Macaca mulatta: one gene and its partners. The protein of the gene in region 2 interacts with the protein of the main gene of each other region in a pairwise test. Links are inferred from orthologs where the notes say so. Each region holds a gene or a part of one and is shown on either strand. Other genes may lie near its edges.

What was found.
Region 1: the proteins of RBM17 (region 2) and CCHCR1 interact in binary tests that used the Homo sapiens proteins (3 or more experiments, as listed by UniProt). The link is inferred for Macaca mulatta from reciprocal best matches to the Homo sapiens genes RBM17 and CCHCR1.
Region 3: the proteins of RBM17 (region 2) and QRICH1 interact in binary tests that used the Homo sapiens proteins (3 or more experiments, as listed by UniProt). The two-hybrid records come from large-scale screens. The link is inferred for Macaca mulatta from reciprocal best matches to the Homo sapiens genes RBM17 and QRICH1.
Region 4: the proteins of RBM17 (region 2) and PPP1R12C interact in binary tests that used the Homo sapiens proteins (3 or more experiments, as listed by UniProt). The two-hybrid records come from large-scale screens. The link is inferred for Macaca mulatta from reciprocal best matches to the Homo sapiens genes RBM17 and PPP1R12C.

Annotation. Positions count from the first base shown.
Region 1 is NC_133409.1:151,910,176-151,915,447, reverse strand, and holds part of CCHCR1 (coiled-coil alpha-helical rod protein 1), read right to left. Parts: intron 4,569-5,272; coding exon 4,265-4,568; intron 1,160-4,264; coding exon 996-1,159; intron 898-995; coding exon 762-897; intron 603-761; coding exon 492-602; intron 250-491; coding exon 100-249; intron 1-99. UniProt on the Homo sapiens protein: May be a regulator of keratinocyte proliferation or differentiation.
Region 2 is NC_133414.1:7,673,494-7,678,765, reverse strand, and holds part of RBM17 (splicing factor 45), read right to left. Parts: intron 2,700-5,272; 5' UTR 2,682-2,699; coding exon 2,559-2,681; intron 1-2,558. UniProt on the Homo sapiens protein: Splice factor that binds to the single-stranded 3'AG at the exon/intron border and promotes its utilization in the second catalytic step. Involved in the regulation of alternative splicing and the utilization of cryptic splice sites.
Region 3 is NC_133407.1:112,478,196-112,483,467, forward strand, and holds part of QRICH1 (transcriptional regulator QRICH1), read right to left. Parts: intron 3,354-5,272; coding exon 3,176-3,353; intron 2,656-3,175; coding exon 2,501-2,655; intron 307-2,500; coding exon 192-306; intron 1-191. UniProt on the Homo sapiens protein: Transcriptional regulator that acts as a mediator of the integrated stress response (ISR) through transcriptional control of protein homeostasis under conditions of ER stress.
Region 4 is NC_133424.1:67,408,857-67,412,913, reverse strand, and holds part of PPP1R12C (protein phosphatase 1 regulatory subunit 12C), read left to right. Parts: intron 1-108; coding exon 109-182; intron 183-264; coding exon 265-392; intron 393-502; coding exon 503-573; coding exon of another isoform or gene 574-576; intron 577-835; coding exon 836-994; intron 995-1,075; coding exon 1,076-1,143; intron 1,144-1,629; coding exon 1,630-1,767; intron 1,768-1,985; coding exon 1,986-2,076; intron 2,077-2,392; coding exon 2,393-2,473; intron 2,474-2,549; coding exon 2,550-2,610; intron 2,611-2,755; coding exon of another isoform or gene 2,756-2,758; coding exon 2,759-2,841; intron 2,842-2,963; coding exon 2,964-3,004; intron 3,005-3,081; coding exon 3,082-3,184; intron 3,185-3,312; coding exon 3,313-3,417; intron 3,418-3,733; coding exon 3,734-3,784; intron 3,785-3,939; coding exon 3,940-3,990; intron 3,991-4,057. UniProt on the Homo sapiens protein: Regulates myosin phosphatase activity.

The DNA of each region.
Region 1 (5,272 bases), on a different chromosome or scaffold from region 2:
GTGGCAACCACTCAATAAACTCTGGTTGAATGGATGCCACTCTTATGGAAGGAGCAAGGTGCTGGGAGGGAATACTGGGAGAACAGAGAGTGCAGTGACCTGTCCCTTCAGCTGCTTAACAGAGTCGCTGTGTTCCAGCTCCTGGGCCTTTAGCTGCACCATGAGGGCAAACACCTTCTCCCGCCAGCGGTTCAGCAGGGACTGGCACTTCCTGGTAAACTCAGGCTCCAGCGAATCTGAAGGTTGAACCTGAGGGAGAAGGAGCGGGAGGAAAGTGTGGGCTCCTGGGGGAGGAGAGGAAGGAGGTGGCATCTTTGTTTCTCCTCTGTCTTGCCCGGACAACATGAGCTACAGCAAGAGGAGTTCACAGGAAGAAAGAGATCCAAGCAGGTTCTGGGGCACATCGAACCCTCCCACCCACAGGGAGGAGGGTGGGGGACAGTAGGTGTAGGATGCGGCTGAGGGTGAGGGATCTGGGGGTCGGGCCATACCTTCCTGGTCAGCTCCTCCTCCTGCAGGGCGAGGATGTGCGTGAGGCTCTGCACCCGCACCTGTAGCAGCTCCGCGGTGGCGTGCAGGCCATCCCGGTCCTCCTGCAAGTGCTGCGGGCGGAGAGAAGCAGCCCCCCTGTAGGGCCTCCATGCCGCCTCGGGTACCACCTTCTCTCCTGAGGGCTGTGCTCTACACGCTCCTCCAAGGGCCACACTTGCCCCCCAACCTGATCCCCAAGTCCCCACACAGATGCACTCCTGCACACTCACCTGCATGTTTTCCAGAAACTTCTGTCGCTCCAGTTCCCATGTCTGGCTGTGGACCTCAGGAGGGACTTGTTCCCCAACATATTTTCTTAGATTCTCAACCAGGGTCACCTGAGCCTCCAAGTCTTCCTGGGTCTTGCTAGGGTTGGGGTGGGAATGGGACAGCCATCAGTGGGGCACCCTGCAGACCCACCACATCACCAACTGCTGGGCCCCCGTCGGCATCCACCCACCTACCTCAGCTGCTTCCGAAGCAGCTCGGCCTCCCTCTGAGCCTCGGCCAGCTCCTTGGCTTCCCCTGCTCTCCTGGTTTCCAGACTACTCAAAGACTGCTCCAAGCCCTCGGCCTTGCTGGTCAAACTGGAAAGAGCCTCCTGGTGAGCCTGTGTCAAAGAGGACAGCTGTGGAAAGAAGAGGAGGCTCAGCAGGAGCTCGACCCCACATGGAGGCCTTCCTTGTTCCCTTCACTCCCACTTTCTGTGACCTTAGACAATGACCAAACCAATCACCCAACTGCGCATAGCAAATGGAGAGCTGGTAACTCACTCTCTGCAGTTGCCCCACAACCCATCGGGAGTTCTTGTTCAATCTCCCCCAAAACATATCTTCACCTCTCTCCGTCTCCGTCTCCACTGCCACCAACCCAAGGTAAGCTACCCTCATCTCTTGCCTGGGCAACAGGGACCATCTCCTAACTAGTCTTTACAAACCCTCGGTGGCTTCTCACAGCATTCACAGCAAAACCCAGGCATCTCTCCACACCTGCAGGCCGGGGGACCCAGCCTCTGCCTGCCTCCTGAGTTCACCCTAGAGGCTCTCCTAATGCTCCCCCCTCCAGCCACAGGGAGTCCGCTGAGAACCAGACAGCGGCCCCTCCTTGCTCCACAGACCCCAGGTGATAGCCCCTCCTCAGGGTGGCTTCGCTGGGCCCTCTAATAACTCTCACCACCCTCCTGTGCCCCATCAACTGCTCACGTCCTCCCGAGCACTTAGCACTGACCATATCTTGCTTATGTGTATGTGTTACTATCTTTCAGACCACATCGGAAGGAAAGCTCCAGGAAAGGAGGAATTTTGTGTCTTTTGCTCATGGCACCTCAAAGGGTTGCAGGGGTGTCAGAGCCACCAACAGTCATGGGATGGACTGGGAAGGAGGGCAAAGTGGCCACCCTGCTTCCTGGTCTGCCTCCTCTAGCCCCGTCTCCATACAACAATAAAGTTAATTTGGGGGATATAAATGACAAAACTTTTTAGACATAAAATACAAATCTAATCATGTCATTTCCCTGCCTAAAACCTTTCAACAGTTGCTTATCACTTAAAAAAACAATTTTGTTTTCTTTTTGTTATTTTGGAGATGGAGTTTCACTTTGTTGCTCAGACTAAGTGCAATGGCACAATCTCAGCTCACTGCAAACGCTGCCTCCCAGGTTCAAGCGATTCTCCTGCCTCACCCTCCCGAGTAGCTGAGATTACAGGCATGAGCCACCACGCCCAGCTAATTTTTGTACTTTTAGTAGAGATGAGGTTTCACCATGTTGGCAGGGCTGGTCTCGAACTCCTGACCTCAAGTGATCCACCCACCTCAGCTTCCCAAAGTGCTGGGATTACACATGTGAGCAACTATGCCCAGCCCTAGTTTATTTAATAAAATAGAGATGGGGGCTCACTTTGTTGCCCAGGCTGGTCTCAAACTCCTGGGCTCAAGTGATCCTTCTGCCTTAGCCTCCCAAAGTGCTAGGATTACAAGTATGAGCCACCGTGCCCAGCCTGCTCATTGCTCTTAAGGGAAAGTAGCAAGTTCTGAAGTGGCCAAGGCCTTGTGCCCTGGGTCCCATGCTCTGCAGCACACTCAGCGCCCCTGATCTCTATGCTCCAGCCTTCTGGCCTCCGCCTGTCCCCGCCTCCACCAGTTGTCCTGCCGAGTGTTCTCCAGAGACCATTGGACCTCACACACCTATTCACTGGCCAACTCCTATTCAGCACAAATGGTGGCTTGCTGGTTTTTTTCAGTCTCGCTCTGCTGCCCAGGCTGGAGTGTGGTGATCTCAGCTCACTGTAACCTCTGTCTCCCAGGTTCAAGCAATTCTCCTGCCTCAGCCTCCCAAGAAGCTGGGGCATTACAGGCGCCCATCGCCATACCCGGCTAATTTCTGTATTTTTTGTAGAGACTGGGTTTCTTCATGTTGGCCAGACTGGTCTTGAACTCCTGGCCTCAAGTGATCCTGCCCACCTCAGCCTCCCAAAGTGCTGGGATTACAGGTGTGAGCCACTGTGCCCGGCCTAGCTTCTTGTTTCTGAGTTTCTTTCATGAATCTCCTTTGTCCACTTTCTGACTGGATTGCTGGTCTTTCCCTTACCAATTTCTAGGCACACATTTTATATTAGGGATATTACCCTTTTCTTGTGATCTGAGCTATAAATAGAGCTTTTTTTTTTTTTTCCCCACCATTCCTAATGTTCATGTTATAAAGTCAATGGATCAATCTTTTCCTTTACGGCTTCTAGATTTTGGATTTTGACTCACAGGTAGAAAGGCCTTGCCCACTACAAGGTTACAAAGAATTTCTCCCTTGTTTTCTCCCAGTTCCTTTTTTATTTTATTTTTTGCGACAGAGTCTTGCTCTGTTGCCCAGGCTGGAGTGCAATGGCATAATTTCGGCTCACTGCAACCTCCACCTCCCAGGCTCAAGTGATTCTCCTGCCTCAGCCTCCTGAGTAGCTGGGATTACAGGTGTGCATCACCATGCCTGGTGAATTTTTGTATTTTTAGTAGAGACGGGGTTTCACCATGTTGGCCAGGCTGGTCTTGAACTCCTGACCTTGTGATCCACCTGCTTCGGCCTCCCAAAATGCTGGGATTACAGGCGTGAGCCACTGCACCCGGCCTTATGGTTTCTTTCCTTGACATGTCCAATTGGTTACAGTGGCCTTCCCTGAACCCCAGACTAAGTTAGTGCTCTCTAGTCCTTCGCCTTCAAGGCACTCCTCCTGATTGCAATTAATTATGATTAAATTAAAAGTGGATGTGTGTATCCCCCATGAGGCTGTCAGTTCCATCCATGAAGGCAGGATTCAGGCTAATTTGGTCACTGAGTCTGAGATGGCAAAGAGTAAGCACTGAGTTTGCGGACTGAATAATCTCTCTCTCCCAGTCCACCATAGCCCCCTTATATCCACCTTCCTCACTGCCCTCCACAATACCCCCGATGAATTGGTACCCAGAGTAAAGCAGGGAGGCAAACTACTTCCTACTAGAAAAGGAAGCAGGGCTTCAAGTCGTGGGAGGCCACCTGAGTCTTGGGGAAAAAGTGCAACCTGAATTAAGATCAAAATAACCAAATTCTCCATCTTTCTAGGCCATGTGTGTTTCTTTTCACCAAAGGTCTCATCACTCCACTACTCACTACTCATGGAGAGTCTCTTCTGCAATACCTGTTCTTTGCTTGGAAGCTACTGCCCAGCTCTCCGTTATGAATTTAAATCCTTCCCACCCCTGCATTCACCTGCTCTTGGTGCAGCCTCTGAACCTCTTCCAGCTCGCGCTGGCTCCCCTCTTCCAAGTTCTTCCGGACGACCTCAGCCCCAGCCAAAGCAGCACGCAGGCCCTCAGCCTCAGCTCGGCCGGCCTTCTCTGCCTGTGCCAGGGCCTCCAGCTCCATGGCCTGGGCCTCTAGCCTCATCTTCTGCTGCAGTGAGGTCTCCCGCAGGAGCCGGACCTCCTCCTCCAGCCGCCGCAGTTCTTGCAACTGCCGAGCGATCACCTCAGCCTGCTGGCTCAGGGCCTGTGACCCCTCCAGCTCCCAGGACCTTCAAAGACAGGTTAGTGCAGGTGAGACTTGTCTCCAGTGCTGGAAGGATAGTTGAGGGTGTAAACATAGCCAGAAGGAAAAGAGGACCTCTCTGCCCCCGTGTGAGGAGGTGAAGGGGGTGCTGAAGCTGGGGTATGGGGATGTCTGCATTGACATCATCATCATTCATCAAAGCCCTATTGAGCATGTTAAGTCCAGTGCCTGGACTCACAGGACCTAAAGTCTGGCTGAGATGATGGAACATGATCTCCCTAGAGAGAGCTACATACAGACAGATTCAACATCAAATGTGTATATCATTAGGCCACACATTCTTTTTGTTTTTTGGTGTTTTTTTGTCTTATTTATTTTTTATTTTTAGGCCACACATTTTAAGTGGAAAGGTTGGAAGAACAGAGACTTCTCAATTCTGATTTAAGGGCAAGAAGTTTGAGGGAGGAATGGGCATAGAGAGAGCTGAGCTTCCAGTATCAATATGGTGAGGCCAGGTGCTAGTTAAAATGCATTTATTGAGTGTTAGGTATACTTTATGAGGAGTCTGAGAGAACAGTACATAAATAACATAGTGCCAGCCTTTGGAGACATTGTCTACCAATATCATGTGAAGTTTAATCTAGCTTGGAACGTGGCTCCTGAGGCAGCTGTCTCTCTGACACCCAGGACCACAGGAGATTGTTGTTGTTGTTTTTAGAGACAGGGTAT
Region 2 (5,272 bases):
GAGTTGGCCCTCTGTATCTACAGGTTCCACATATCTAACCCCAGGATGAAAATATTAAGAACATAAAACAATACAAGAAAAAATACAAATTAAAAAACCAATACGGTATAACAACTTTTTACACAGCATTTACATTGTGTTAGGTATTGCAAGCAATCCAGAGATTATTTAAAATATGGGAAGATATGTGCTGGTTATGTGCAAACTCCACACCATTTTATATAAGGGACTTGGGCAGTCTTGGATTTTGGTATCCGGTGCGGGGGGATCCTCGAACCAATCCCCTGTGGACACCAAGAAACAACTTTGTATTTTTCAAATGGAGATACAAATGAAACCACAGCTTCAAATTTTCTCTACCAAATAAATATCTTTACAGGTTTGGCTAGGCCAATCTAGTATTCTGAGTAACTAAACAGCCTAAGAGAATGCAATCTTCATTTCCCTTAAACAAACAAACAAACAAACCCACAAAACTAACTGTACATAGCAATCTCAAAAGTTTTAGAAAGTTAGTAGAAATAACTTCACAAGCTACCTCAAGTTTTAAAAATCTATATGAGGCCGGGCATGGTGGCTCACATCCACATCTTTCCTGCAAAGCAAAAGTTACATGAAATCTACAAAGATTTTATACATTTACTTTTTTAAAAAATTAAAGAGAAAAACGAGGTTTTGCTAACCTTCCTTACATTTGGAATGAAAACTTGCTTTAAAAAAACAAAAAATACTCGCATCCAAAAAATCTAAATTTGGTAATGATGAATTTTAAAAAGACAAAAAAACTTCTACAATACTGAACAATCAAACGTAAGCACTTCCATGTAAGTATCTATTGATGTGGTAAAGGGAAAAGAAAAATGAGTAAAACTTTAAAAAAAAACCCTGTGTATTATGGAAATTTTCAAACATGAAATTAAAGAGATTATAAATTCTTAAGTCTCTGCTATCCAGTTTCAACCATTACCAACTCATGGGTAGTTCTGTTCTTCCCTCCCTCCCCTGCCTGGTACTGAATTGTTTCGAAGTAAATCCCAAAAATGACATCATCTTATCAGTAAATATTTCAGCATGTATCTCTAAAGTACTTTTTCTCAAGTTTAATTATTGCCTCCCCAACAAGGAGCCTTTTAATACATTTTTTCCGACACATGAAATTTTAACACTGTGCACAATATGAGCAAGATTTTTTTGCCCCCCAAAAGACCAACATTCGCTCCGTTTGGGGGGATATAGCCTCCACTGCGAATGCAAACTCTAGAGCATAACGACCTCTAAAATAGTAAACAAATCATACCATTCTCATGCCTACATTTTAATGGCAAATATCCAGTCGACAACTATGTTTTTAATGTTTTACATGTTGAGTTATTTCAAGGACATTGCCAATATCCAACATGCACACAACAGAAACAAAAGCAATTAGCATCCAGACTACATATGCCTGACACCTTCACAACCAACCCCAGCCCTCAATAAGTTACACCCAGCAGCTTAGGTATTCTGTGGAGCTTCTTCCCAAAGTGCTGCTTCCAAACTACCGCCAACAAACCAGTAGGAATGCTACTTAAAAATGCCCACTCCTGGGGCTCCAGTCTAAACTAGAGTTTACCAGAATATCAGGAGTATGGCTACACAATCAGCACCTTAAACAAGTTCTCACTCAATCTTAGACCTCCACTACTTAAGTTTGAAAACCAGTGTCACTGCTGGTTCAGAGTACCAGTTTTGCTTTGTTTGTTTGTTTTTTTGAGACAGAGCCTTTTTTTTTTTTTTTTTTTGAGACGGAGTCTCGCTCTGTCGCCCAGGCTGGAGTGCAGTGGCCGGATCTCAGCTCACTGCAAGCTCCGCCTCCCGGGTTCACGCCATTCTCCTGCCTCAGCCTCCCGAGTAGCTGGGACTACAGGCGCCCGCCACCTCGCCCGGCTAATTTTTTGTATTTTTTAGTAGAGACAGGGTTTCACCGTGTTAGCCAGGATGGTCTCAATCTCCTGACCTCGTGATCCGCCCATCTCGGCCTCCCAAAGTGCTGGGATTACAGGCTTGAGCCACCACGCCCGTCCTGAGACAGAGTCTTGCTGTGTCACTCAGGCTGGAGTGCAGTGGCGCAATCTCTGCCTCCCAGGTTCATGCCATTATCCTGCCTCAGCCTCCCGAGTAGCTGGGACTAAAGGCACCCACTCACCATGCCCAGCTAATTTTCTGTATTTTTAGTAGAGACGGGGTTTCACCGTGTTGGCCAGGACGGTCTCCCATCTCCTGACCTCATGATCTGCCTGCCTTGGCCTCCCAAAGTGCTGGGATTACAGGCGTGAGCCACCGTGCCCAACCCCACAGAGTACTGTTTTTCTTCATTCCTATCCCATGAAATGTTCCCATTCCCAGGAGCCAGGAGCAGCAAAGCGGCCTTAAACTCCTCATTCCTCTCCCCCTACAAATGTTTAACACCATTTACCCAATACAAAGGCAGAAGAGCAAGCTGAAACCAAACTCCTTGTCATCCTAATGAGCAACCCACTCTGGAGGCCTCTGCTCTCCTGCTCTGGGCTTGTCTTTACCTTTGCCTGAGTGAGAGCTGCCTTCTTCACCTGAAGCTGAGACTGCAGAAGTTTGAAGTTTTTGGACCAGCCTTCTGTTTTTGAGTCACTGGTCTCCACTCCTAGGTCATCGTACAGGGACATCTTTTCTTCAGTTTAATGCTGAAAGGCAAAAGGGGTGGGGATTAAAGAATGCACAATTCAATAAAGGCTTTTCATGTTAAAATAAAAATCACGAAATTTTAGAGGTAAAAGGTCCAGGACCTTTCAGCAACAGAGGCCAAGGCTCCTGGTACCATTAATGCAGGGTTCTTCCCGATATATGAAGCTACACCATGTATTATTTTTAAAATAAGGCTCTAGAATTCATTTTTCCATCTACAAGACCATGCAGTCAGGTGATCCATGAGTGAAATCCTTCAAAGCTAGGGCACATAATGAGGTAAGAATTGAGACATTATTAATTACATATATCCAATGTTTAAAAAATTCTATTCATGTCAGTGCCAAAAAGTAGAAGCCTTAAAAACACAAATTACCAGGTTGATTTAGCACAATTAGCTACCCTTTCATAAAGAAAAAATTTAAACATACTCTTAGGGAAAAAAGTGACAGAAATGACCTCTTAGATGTGATTTTGTCAATTACGATTATCGGCGGGGGGGGGGGGGGGGGGGCGGTGCTGGTTATATCTTAAATACTATGACTTCCTCATATCCCCCCCAAGTGGAAACTTGTCATCTTTAATGATAGCAATTACAAAGAGACAATCAACAATCTGCATGTGAACAAGCAACACACAGCTTCCGTGCAGAACAGAGGAACACGTGAAAACAAAAATCAAGTCAGCAGGCACAAAGCATGACATGCAATGCAGCATCGGCAGCAGGTCCCATGAAAGCCCAGCACTGTACAGACATGGATGCTGGGGTTTAGGGAATCAATCTGCCCAAGGCCACAGTGGAAGCCCCTTCCAACCCAGCCAGGCCAACTCCAGAGCCCTCACCAGTGAACCCCAACTGCCACTTTTAAAAAAAAACTCAACATTCCGAAACCCACCGACATGCTTACTTCTTCAAATAAGAAATCAATCTCACAGACAGAAAGAGAACATAATTTAAACAGAAACCCACAAGTTGCAAGCAAATGCTTAGCACAGTAGTTCCCAATTTATGGACAAATTCCCAAAGTCTGTCAGTTCCCAGGGGGCCCATAAAGCATTTTCCCATGGAAACAGTGTTATCGAAAAGCCTAATTTGCTTGTGTTCTGTGGCTCAGAAGAGAAGGAAAATATTTAACACACATCCTCCTTAGGTCTGACTCGGCAAGCATTTCTCTTGAAGGTACTCTTACTTCTCAGCTCCTCCATTACCAGGATTCTAACACCCTGCCACCCCAACACCTTAGCTGATGTTGGTACCACACTGTTTGGAGTGAGGGACGGAGTGCACACCAACTTCTGTTCCCTCAGAAGAACTGCCCTGGTCTTAAGTACAGGAACTCCCTGCCTGAAGTCAGCATCCAGAAAACTGGTACCACTTTTTAGTTTCTTCCATTCCTTCATAGGTGAACCCTCCGATTAATTAAAACCTCTCCCTTTTCCTTCATACGTGAACACTCCGATTAATTAAAACCTCTCCATTTTGATTTTTAAATGAAAGGCCCCCCAAGGCCGTACAGAAGCAGGGAAAGCAGACTGTCCAGGGGTATCGACGGCTGACTGCGCAAACGAATCACATTAAGAATGAAGGGATGGCGGCTGCGGTGGCTCACACCTGTAATCCCAGCACTTTGGGAGGCATAGGAGGGCGGATCACTTGAGGTCAGGAGTTCCAGATCAGCCTGGCCAACATGGTGAAACTCTGTCTCTATTAAAAATACAAAAATTAGCTGGGCGTGGTGGTGGACGACTGTAATTCCAGCTACTCGGGAGGCTGAAGCATGACAATCGCCTGAATCTGGGAGGCGGATGTTGCAGTAAGCCAAGATCACACCACTGCACTCCAGCCTGGGCGATAGATCGAGAGTCCGCCACCTCCCCTCCTCCCGCCCCCGCCAAAAAAAAGAATGAAGGGATGCTGGGATGCAGACAGACTCTCCTCCTGATTGACATCTTCATTGCCAAACTGCACTTTCTCAGGAACTTGGGGATGACGTCTCATGACACAGGCCTGAAGCACTGAGGCCAAATCAGGAAAAAATAATGAACTCCATTCTTTAACAAATATGGCTGAAATATAACCATGTCCTCAAAGTCTTGGAGGGAATCTCCTGATGTCCACTTCAGAGCCTAGTTTAATAACTCTGAACTCCAAGAAAACCTAGATCCAGTTTGTTTTGTTCACTGCTCTATCCTCAGACTAAGATCAATATCCAACCCACAGCTAAATAGGAAATGAGGCCAAACTGCAGTTTATACTCCATTTACAAAGCCCTCTCAATTAGAAATTTCTGGCCAGCAATCACTGGCCAGAAGGAAGAACACCACACCAAATAGCTTTTGAGGTTTTTGTACACTTTTCTTCCGGCTTACCCAGAACTCAAAACTCATTGTTCACATCTAGATACATATCCTTAAATTTTAATCTAAAAACACTCAAACAGCAACAGTAAAGAAAAACAATGCTGAGAGTCCAGCTTAGCATTGTGGCTCCCAAAAACACTTCTTCAGAAATGACCATGCACCTTTCATCTAACTTAATCTTTTGAGTCCTCTTCATCCAACTGGTCACCAA
Region 3 (5,272 bases), on a different chromosome or scaffold from region 2:
CTGGGACCAGCAAGGTTCTCTGGTGAGCAGTGCCTCTTCCCTATCAGGGCAAGTAGCACAGTGGCCAATGCTGCTGCAGTCTGGGATTTATATCCCCCTCACTCACATGCTTTTCACAGCCAACCACAGAAGCTGTTGATCTTTCTTAAATCCAGGTGGGAAAGATATCCAAGGACAAGGGAGACTCTTACCAAGTGGAGTGACCCGGGGCTGAACATCCTTCAGAACTTCATGTAGCCACTCCGTGAACCGAACATAATAAAGATCGGAGAAAATGTCATCTACCCTTCCATTTTCAAAAAGATACTAAAAGAAAAACAATTAATAGAAGTTATTGGTAGTCTCCTGAACAAGGCTTTCAGGGGAAATAAATATATTTTTCTACCAGTACTACTATCCTTCCCTACCCATTCACACCTCGACAAACTAAGGCACCAGCATGTGACACTTCCATAGTATGCTTAAGCTCATGTGACTGATTCTCATGACATTCTTGAGAGTTGGGTAAATAAGGCAGATGTTGTGAATGGTATTTCACCCAAGAAAGGCATTGTTTTGTGTTAGCAAAAATCATGAATAGGCTCTAGGGTCAGTCTTCCATTAGATATTGTGTAAGTTAAATAACATGTGCAAGTCTTTTAATTTCTGGGGTTCAGTTTCCTTGCCTGTAAATGGAGATGATGGTATCTGCCTTCCAGGACTGGGGAGAGCACAGAATGAAAGCATGTAAAGCAATTCACACAGTACTTAGGTTAGGACCACCGAGAGAGGAAAAAACTAGGAGGCAGACATGTCTCAAGACTAGGCCAACAGAATGAGTCCCAACCAGTAAGCCCTACTCTACTATACTGTGATTTCTCCTCAAAAGCCTTCAAGCACTAAAATATCCACCTCTGCTCCCTTGAACTGCCAGTCTGCAAATTTCCATTATGCTTCACAACAGATGTCCTGAAAACCTAACTACATTGGTATATTATTCTAGCTAGACTCCTTCAAATAAGTATTTAGTGTTAATGCAGGGAACAATGAGAAGGAAAGTTCTATGCTGGCACAAGACTTTGTTTTGAATAAATTACTTTCATGAAAATCAGGTTTACCTTAACAAAAAGAAAAGTGTTACATAAATGCTTTGTGAATTACACACAAAAAAAGGTCAAGGTAATTACCAATAATGTAACAGAAGTTTCTCTAGGTAGTAGGATGATGAATAATGTTTGTTTTCCTATTTTATTATTTATTTTATGCATTTATTTTTTAAGAGGCAAGGTCTTGCTTTGCAGCCCAGACTGAATGAAGTGCAATGGCACAATCATAGCTGACTGTAGCCTCGAACTGCTGAGCTCAAGCAATCCTCCTGCCTCAGCCTCCCAAACAGCTGGGACTACAGGTGTGCACCACCACACCCGGCTAATTATTTTTCTTTTCATTTTTGAGACAGGGTCTCACTCTGTCACCCAGGCTGGAGTGTAGTGGCATAATCATGACTCACTACAGCCCCAACCTCTGGGGCTTAAGCAATCCTCCCACCTCAGCCTCCCAAGCAGCTGGGACTACAGGCACGCACTACCATACCCAGCTAATTTTTTGTAGAGATGGGGTTTCACTATGTTGCCTAGGCTGGTCTCAAACTCCTGCGGCTCAAGCGATCCTCCTGCCTGAGCCTCCCAAAGTTCTGGGATTACAGGTGTGAGACATCTCGCTTGGCTGTTATTTTTTTTCTTTTCTTTTTTTTTTGAGACAGAGTCTCGCTCTGTTGCCCAGGCTGGAGTGCAGTGGCCGGATCTCAGCTCACTGCAAGCTCCGCCTCCCGGGTTTACGCCATTCTCCTGCCTCAGCCTCCCGAGTAGCTGGGACTACAGGCGCTCGCCACCTCGCCCGGCTAGATTTTTGTATTTTTTAGTAGAGACGGGGTTTCACCGTGTTAGCCAGGATGGTCTCGATCTCCTGACCTCGTGATCCGCCCATCTCGGCCTCCCAAGGTGCTGGGATTACAGGCTTGAGCCACCACGCCCGACCTCTTTTTTTTTTTTTTTTTTTAATTTTTGAGACAGAGTCTCGCTCTGTCGCCCAGGCTGGAGTGCAGTGGCGCGATCTCGGCTCACTGCAAGCTCCGCCTCCCGGGTTCACGCCATTCTCCTGCCTCAGCCTCCCGAGTAGCTGGGACTACAGGCGCCCACAACCGCGCCCGGCTAATTTTTTGTAATTTTTTAGTAGAGACGGGGTTTCACCGTGGTCTCAATCTCCTGACCTTGTGATCCGCCCGCCTCGGCCTCCCAAAGTGCTGGGATTACAGGTGTGAGCCACCACGCCCGGCCCCGGCTCTTATTTTCTAAAGTGAACATGTACGTTTTTAAAACTTAAAAAAATGTGCATTTTAAAACTCATTATATACCTGAAAGAGAACTTCCTTATTTTAACTTCTTGTTTGTCATTAACTAAACTAGCAAACATCCAACAGGAACACAGCTCAAACATGTTCTCATGAAGATCTGTTTCCTACCTTTTGAATACACAGGAAAATATAGTAGAGCACATCTGGGTCATAGGGTTCACCTTCTCCATTTCGAGCTTCCCGTGTCATTAGACAGAGCCCATAATTCAACTCTGCCACAGCAGAGGATATGAGATCTTCCTGGAATCGCAGCAGTTGGCGCCCTGCAACGAAAGCCCCAAAGATGAATGGAGGTCCTGGCAACCCAGGACGAATAGAGGTCCTGGGGGTCCATATCTGGAAGGCTCAGAACACATACTGCCCATGAGGGTGCTGGGACAGAAATGGTCACTTGTATCTACTGTAATGTTTCACGCCTGTAATGTCAGAACTGGCCTATCATGTGAGTATATGAGCCTAATGCCAAGAAAGAAGGGCTTGAGTGAGTGCCTACTACCTGGTTCCCATTTCCTCCCAGAAGCCACTGTGTTCAGGTCTGGTAGGGTCAACTCCTGAAACCCGTATGTCTAAAAATGCCTGGTTTTGCGCAAACCCCACACATCCTGCTTATTATGTACACAGGGTCAGTACTGCTTGTTGCTAGGACTGAATTCAACATACTATTACAGATGTTGCTCTCTTTTCCCCCAGACAGGGGATACCACTTTTCTGCCATTTTGTCCTCCTGTTACTTCAGTACCACTGCATTTTAGACAGAGCCCACTCTTCTTCCCAGACACTCACTCCCAATGGGTGCCAATCTGTTCTGAGCATCCTTCTCTAATTCAGCATTCTTGGTCTGGGCCCAGTTTTTCCATACTTCAAGCCCTTCTTCTGGCTTCAAAGAATTTGGAAGCAGAAGTTCTGGGGAAGGCTGTGGCTGTGACTGTGGTTCAACTTCAGCAACCTGGACAGTTTGAGCCTATAGGAAAGAAACCATGAAAATGTGTCAATAGTGTTTTATATTAGATCCTTCAGCAAAATTGCCAGAAAATTGTTATGTGTAGTTCATTTATTTAAGAAAATATTTCTCTACTCCTTGCTGTCCTACTTTTAAGAAGCTTTGCAGTTCTACCTCCTGCCCCAGGGACAGCAAAAGCAGCACTGCAACTGGGCTAGTGCCGTGATTCTCAGCTTTGTCTGCACTTTTAAATGTTTTTTTTTTTTTAGACGGAGTTTCGCTCTAGTCACTCAGGCTGGAGTGCAATGGCACAATCTCGGCTCACTGCAATGTCCGCCTCCCGGGTTCAAGTGATTCTCCTGCCTCAGCCTCCCGAGTACCTGGGATTACAGGCATGCACCACCACGGCCAGCTAATTTTATAATTTTAGTCGAGACAGGGTTTCATCATGTTGGTCAGGCTGGTCTTGAACTCCCAACCTCAGGTGATCTGCCCGCCTCGGCCTCCCAAAGTGCTGGGATTACAGGCGTGAACCACCGTGCCCGGTCAAATCTTTTATTTAAAAACACTAATAGCCAGACTTACCCCAGAATCTCTCTGAGGGGGAGCAAAGTATCAATCGTATAAAAACTCCTCAAGTAAGATTGCGCCACTGCACTCCAGCCTGGTGACAGAGCGAGACTCTGTCTCGGAAAAATAAAAAACAAAACAAAACAAAACAAAAGAACTCCTTGAGTAAAAAAGTAATTCTAATGTTTGGTCACCACTGAGAACTACTGGCTCAAAGCACTGCTTCCACAATCTTTTTCTTTTTTTTTTTTTGAGATGGAGTCTCGCTCCTGTAGTACAGGCTTGAGTGCAGTGGCACAATCTCAGCTCACTGTAACTTCCACCACCCGGATTCAAGCAATTCTCCTTCTTCAGCCTCCTGAGTAGCCAGGATTATAGGTGTGTGCCACCACACCTGGCTAATTTTTTTATTTTTAGTAGAGACGGAGTTTCTCCATGTTGGCCAGGCTGGTCTCGAACTCCTGACCTCAGGTGATCCACCTGCCTCAGCCTCCCAAAGTGCTAGGATTACAGGCGTGAGCCACTGCACCCGGCCCCCACAATCTTTAATGTGCAAACAAATCACTTGGGGATTATATCAAAATGTATATTGTGATTGAAAAGGGTGGGATCTGAGACTCAGCATTTCTTTTTTTTTTTTTTTTTTTTTGGCAGGGACAGAGTTTCGCTCTTGTTCTTTGGATGCTGGAGTGCAATGGCGGGATCTCGGCTCACCTCGACCTCTGTCCCCCAGGTTCAAGCGATTCTCCTGCCTCAGCCTCCCAACTAGCTAGAATTACAGGCATGTGCCACCACTCCCGGCTAATTTTGTATTTTTAGTAGAGATGGGGTTTCTCCAAGTTGGTCAGGCTGGTCTTGACTCCCAACTTTGCAATTTCCTACTTTTTGAAATTCTTTTTTTGAGCAAAGTCTTGCTCTGTCACCCAGACTAGAGAGCAGTGGCATGATCTTGGCTCACCATAACCTCGGCCTCCCAGGTTCAAGGCATTCTCCTGCCTCAGCCTCCCGAGTAGCTGGGATTATAGGTGTCTGCCATCATGCCCGGCTAATTTTTGTATTTTTAGTAGAGACGGGGTTTCACCATGTTGACCAAGCTGGTCTCAAACTCCTGACCTCAGGTGATCCGTCTGCCTTGGCCTCCCAAAATGTTAGGCTTACAGGCATGAGCCACCATGCCTGGGGAGATTCTAAAGAGATCCTTACACCCTAAAAAAATAAAATTCCAAGATTTTCCATTTTTTTAGTTTGGACTCTGATTTTGAAGGGCAAGAACTGAGTCACCACATGTTCAAAGAATGTACTTGAGCTGGGTGAGGTGGCTCACACCTGTAATCCCAGCACTCTGGGAGGCCGAGGCAGGCAGATCACTT
Region 4 (4,057 bases), on a different chromosome or scaffold from region 2:
CCCTCGGTGCCCGCCTGGGCACTGAGCTCCTGACAGCTGTTCATGGTGGTATTGCTGTGGGGGACGTGTGCTCCACCCCTCCCCTGCAGCCTCCTTCCCTCCTTGCAGCTTCGGAACCAAAAAGAAGCTTCCCAGAGCCGGGGCCAGGAGCCCCAAGCGCCCTGTAGCAGCAGACACAGAAGGTATAGGGAGGGAGGAGTCTGGGGCTGGCGGGTGGCTGGAGGCCCCGGGCTTGCACCCCAGCACCCTCTCCTTCCCCAACAGGAGCTCTGTGTGTCGTCTGAGCAGTCGAGAGAAGATTTCCCTCCAGGACTTGTCCAAGGAGCGCCGGCCTGGTGGGGCTGGGGGGCCCCCCATCCAGGACGAGGATGAGGGGGAAGAAGGTCCCGCCGGTGAGGAGCCTGAATCCGGACTCCTGGGTCCGAGGGAGGAGGGGTCGGGTTCTCTGAATCTAGAGGCAGCTGGCATCTTCTGTGACCTACCCGGTGTTCCCACATCACAGAGCCACGCCCTGCAGAGCCCGGAACCCTCAATGGCGTCTCCTCCCCACCGCACCCGAGTCCTAAGAGCCCCGTGGTGAGTGGATGCCCTGAGAGGTCCTGTGAGGCCGGGAGGGCCGGGAGGTGGGAGTCCATAAAGCCTGTGAACCTCTGGCAGGGGCAGGTAGGGTGAAGACTGTAGTTCCCAGAGTCCTCCTGGACAACCGGCTTCCTTTGTAGGTTGCGCTTGCCCCAGGGGCTGATGGGAATTGTAGTTTGGTGCAGTCCTTTGGGGGCTAACCCTTGAGGTCTGAGAAGAGGGATCCTTTCTCCCTGAGACCTCCTTCTTCTCCCAGCCGCCTGAAGAGGCCCCCTTCTCCAGGCGCTTTGGCCTCCTGAAGACAGGGAGTTCTGGTGCCCTGGGTCCCCCGGAAAGGCGGATGGCAGAGGGAGCCCCGGGGGCTGGGCTGCAGCGCTCGGCTTCCTCCTCCTGGCTGGAAGGGACCTCCACCCAGGTGAGTGAGGGTTGGGCGGGGTCCGGGCCCAGGCCCCTGCCCAGTTGGGGGAACTGCCCCTTCCTCCTCCTCTCCACACAGGCCAGGGAGCTCCGTCTTGCCAGAATTACCCCGACCCCCTCCCGGAAGCTGCCGGAGCCCTCTGTCCTGTGAGTCCCCAAGGCCTGGGCCCCTCGGGGGTAGGCGGCAGATGTGGGTTCCAAGCCTGTCCGTATGATCCTGAGTGAGCCCGTGTACCCCCCGGGTCTGATTCCTGCTCCCACCCCAGAGCCTGTGCTGTGTTCCTCCTGGCGGCTGGCTCCCTCCCTCAAGCCCGTGTTGAAACGTCACCTTCTCCCCATCATCCCCCACCCCGAGGCGCACGGACCACCTGCTGCCACCTCTGCGCCGTCGGCACATGCCCCTGCCGCTCCGCTCCCAGTTCTCGCGCTGCTGCTTCTGTCCAGCGTGCTTTACCCTTCTGACCGGCTGGGTAGAGTGCTGGTCTTTTCATGGCTGTTGTCAGTTTTGTGTATTTCTGCTCAGCTCTGACTCTGGTGGCCCAGATAATTTGTTTCTTTTGTTCACGGCTGCATCTCCAGTGCCGGCACACAATGCACCTGGGTAATGTTTGTTGAATGAATGAATTGATGCAGGTCTGAGGTCACCAAGCCTCCTCCTTGCTTGGAGAACTCCTCGCCTCCCTCCAGGATTCCGGAGTCTGAATCTCCAGCGAAGCCAAACGCCCCCACCGCCTCCACAGCACCCCCAGCGGACTCCCGGGACCGACGGAGGTGCAGAGGCCAGGGCAGGAAGCTGCCGCCCCAGCCAGCAGAGACTATGTCAAGCCGGAGTCCCGGGGCTCTGGGTGGGCTCCTGAGGGAGGGCTGGCCCCGGGTCTGCTGGGAGTTGGAGTCGCCTCCCACAGAACTTGCCTCCCGCGGAGGGTGCCCGCCACGGAATGGGACAGGGTCCCCAGTGCCCCTCCCTGAGGTTGGGACCCTTCCCTCAGGTCCTACCAGATGCCTGTGCGGGATGAGGAGTCGGAATCCCAGAGAAAAGCTCGCTCCCGTCTCATGCGCCAGTCTCGGAGGTCCACGCAGGTGTGGGGTGGGCTGGGGTCTGGACTCCTGGGTCTGAGGGAGGAGGGGACTGGGGGGTCTGGACTCCCGGGTCTGAGGGAGGAGGGGCTGGGGGTCTGGACTCCTGGGTCTGAGGGAGGAAGGACTGGGGGTCTGGACTCCTGGGTCTGAGGGAGGAGGGACTGGAGTCTGGACTCCTGGGTCTGAGGGAGGAGGGACTGGGGTCTGGACTCCTGGGTCTGAGGGAGGAGGGACTGGAGTCTGGACTCCTGGGCCTGAGGAAAGAGGAGCTGGGCCCTGACCCCAGCCTCCCCTGACTGTCCCCTTTCCCTGCCAGGGTGTGACTCTGACAGACCTGAAGGAGGCAGAGAAGTCTGCAGGGAAGGCCCCAGAGTCAGAGAAGCTGGCGCAGAGCCTGGTGAGAGGGGTCAGCGAGGGCGCGTGGGGTGGTGCGGGATGTCCTGGTCCCCTGACTCACCAACCCCTCCCGACAGGACCCTTCCCGGAGGCCCCGCGTCCCTGGAGTGGAGAACTCCGACAGCCCGGCCCAGAGAGGTGAGGTCTGCTCTCTGGGGGAGGTCATTCCCCGGGAATCATCGTCTCTCCGAGTCTTCCTGCTTTCCTGGGGGCTTGACCTGGGGACCCGGGCCCCCAGAGGCGTCTCTGGAGGTGCCTGGACTGATTCCTGCCCCTCCCCCAGCAGAGGCGCCTGACGGGCAGGGTCCAGGACCGCAGGCGGCCAGGGAGCCCCGCAAGGTCGGAAAGGAGTGGAGGGGGCCTGCGGAGGTGAGGGGGGCTCAGGTGGGGCCGGGCTGGTGCAGAGGGTGGGCCGGAGGGCGGGCAAAGCCCCTCCCATACCCACTAAAGCCCCTCCCATGCCCATTGAACCCCTCTCTACCTGCCCACAGGGGGAGGAGGCGGAGCCGGCTGACCGCAGCCCGGAGTCCAGGTAGGGGCGGGGTGGGAGAGGTGGGGCCTGCGTGCGGCCCGGGCCGGCCCCTGACGCGCGTTCCGCCCCCGCCCCAGCACCCTGGAGGGCGGCCCCTCGGCCCGCAGGCAGCGGTCACAGCGGGACCTCCACCCAGAACCTGAGCCAGAGTCGGAGGAGCAGGACGGAGGCTTTAGGAAGGTGTGATCCCACCCCTCCTTTGGGGCTCCGCCTGCCGGGTGCCCACCTCCTGGCTTCCCTGCCCCCAGCGTCGCCCCTGCCCTCCACCTGACCCTCCTCCGCCTGACCCTCCTCCACCCGACCCCCAGCTGTATGCAGAGCTGCGCAGGGAGAACGAGCGGCTTCGCGAGGCTCTGACCGAGACCACGCTGCGGCTGGCGCAGCTCAAGGTGGAGCTGGAGCGGGCCACGCAGGTAAAGGCGCCGAGGCCAGGGTCACCAGAACTGGCAGGGCCGCCTGGGTGGGGCTCAGACTGTTGGGAGGCAGAGCCTGGCCTGGAGGGGCCGATGGGGCTTCGCTCCACCTGAGGGCCTGGCCGAGATCTCGGAGGCGGGGTCTGAGCAAATGGGGGTGGGGCTGTGGGCTTGCTGGGGGCGGGGCCTGGCCCATGGGGGTGGGGCTGGTGGGCTGCCTAGTGGGCAGGCGGGTCCCCAGCAGGAACGTAGGACCCCTCCTGAGGGCAGTGCTGGCTTCCCCTGCTGACCCCTGTGCTTTCCGTGTCCTCACCAGAGGCAAGAGCGCTTCGCTGAGAGGCCAGCCCTTCTGGAGCTGGAGAGATTCGTGAGTAGGGACAGTAGGGACGGGAGCCAGAGGTGTTCCCAGCCTCACATCACTAAGTTTGGACCAAGAGAGCCACATTGCCCTTCCCAGCTGGCCCCCGGCCTTCCCCTGTCCTCAGCCTCACTCGGTTTCTGAACTTTCCCTGTTCATTCCAGGAGCGCAGGGCCCTGGAACGCAAGGCTGCAGAGCTGGAGGAAGAGCTGAAGGTGGGGGCTGTGGGGGCTGTGGGCAGAGGGCCGAGGGTGGGCGGGGGCGCAACCCACCAGGGCTGCC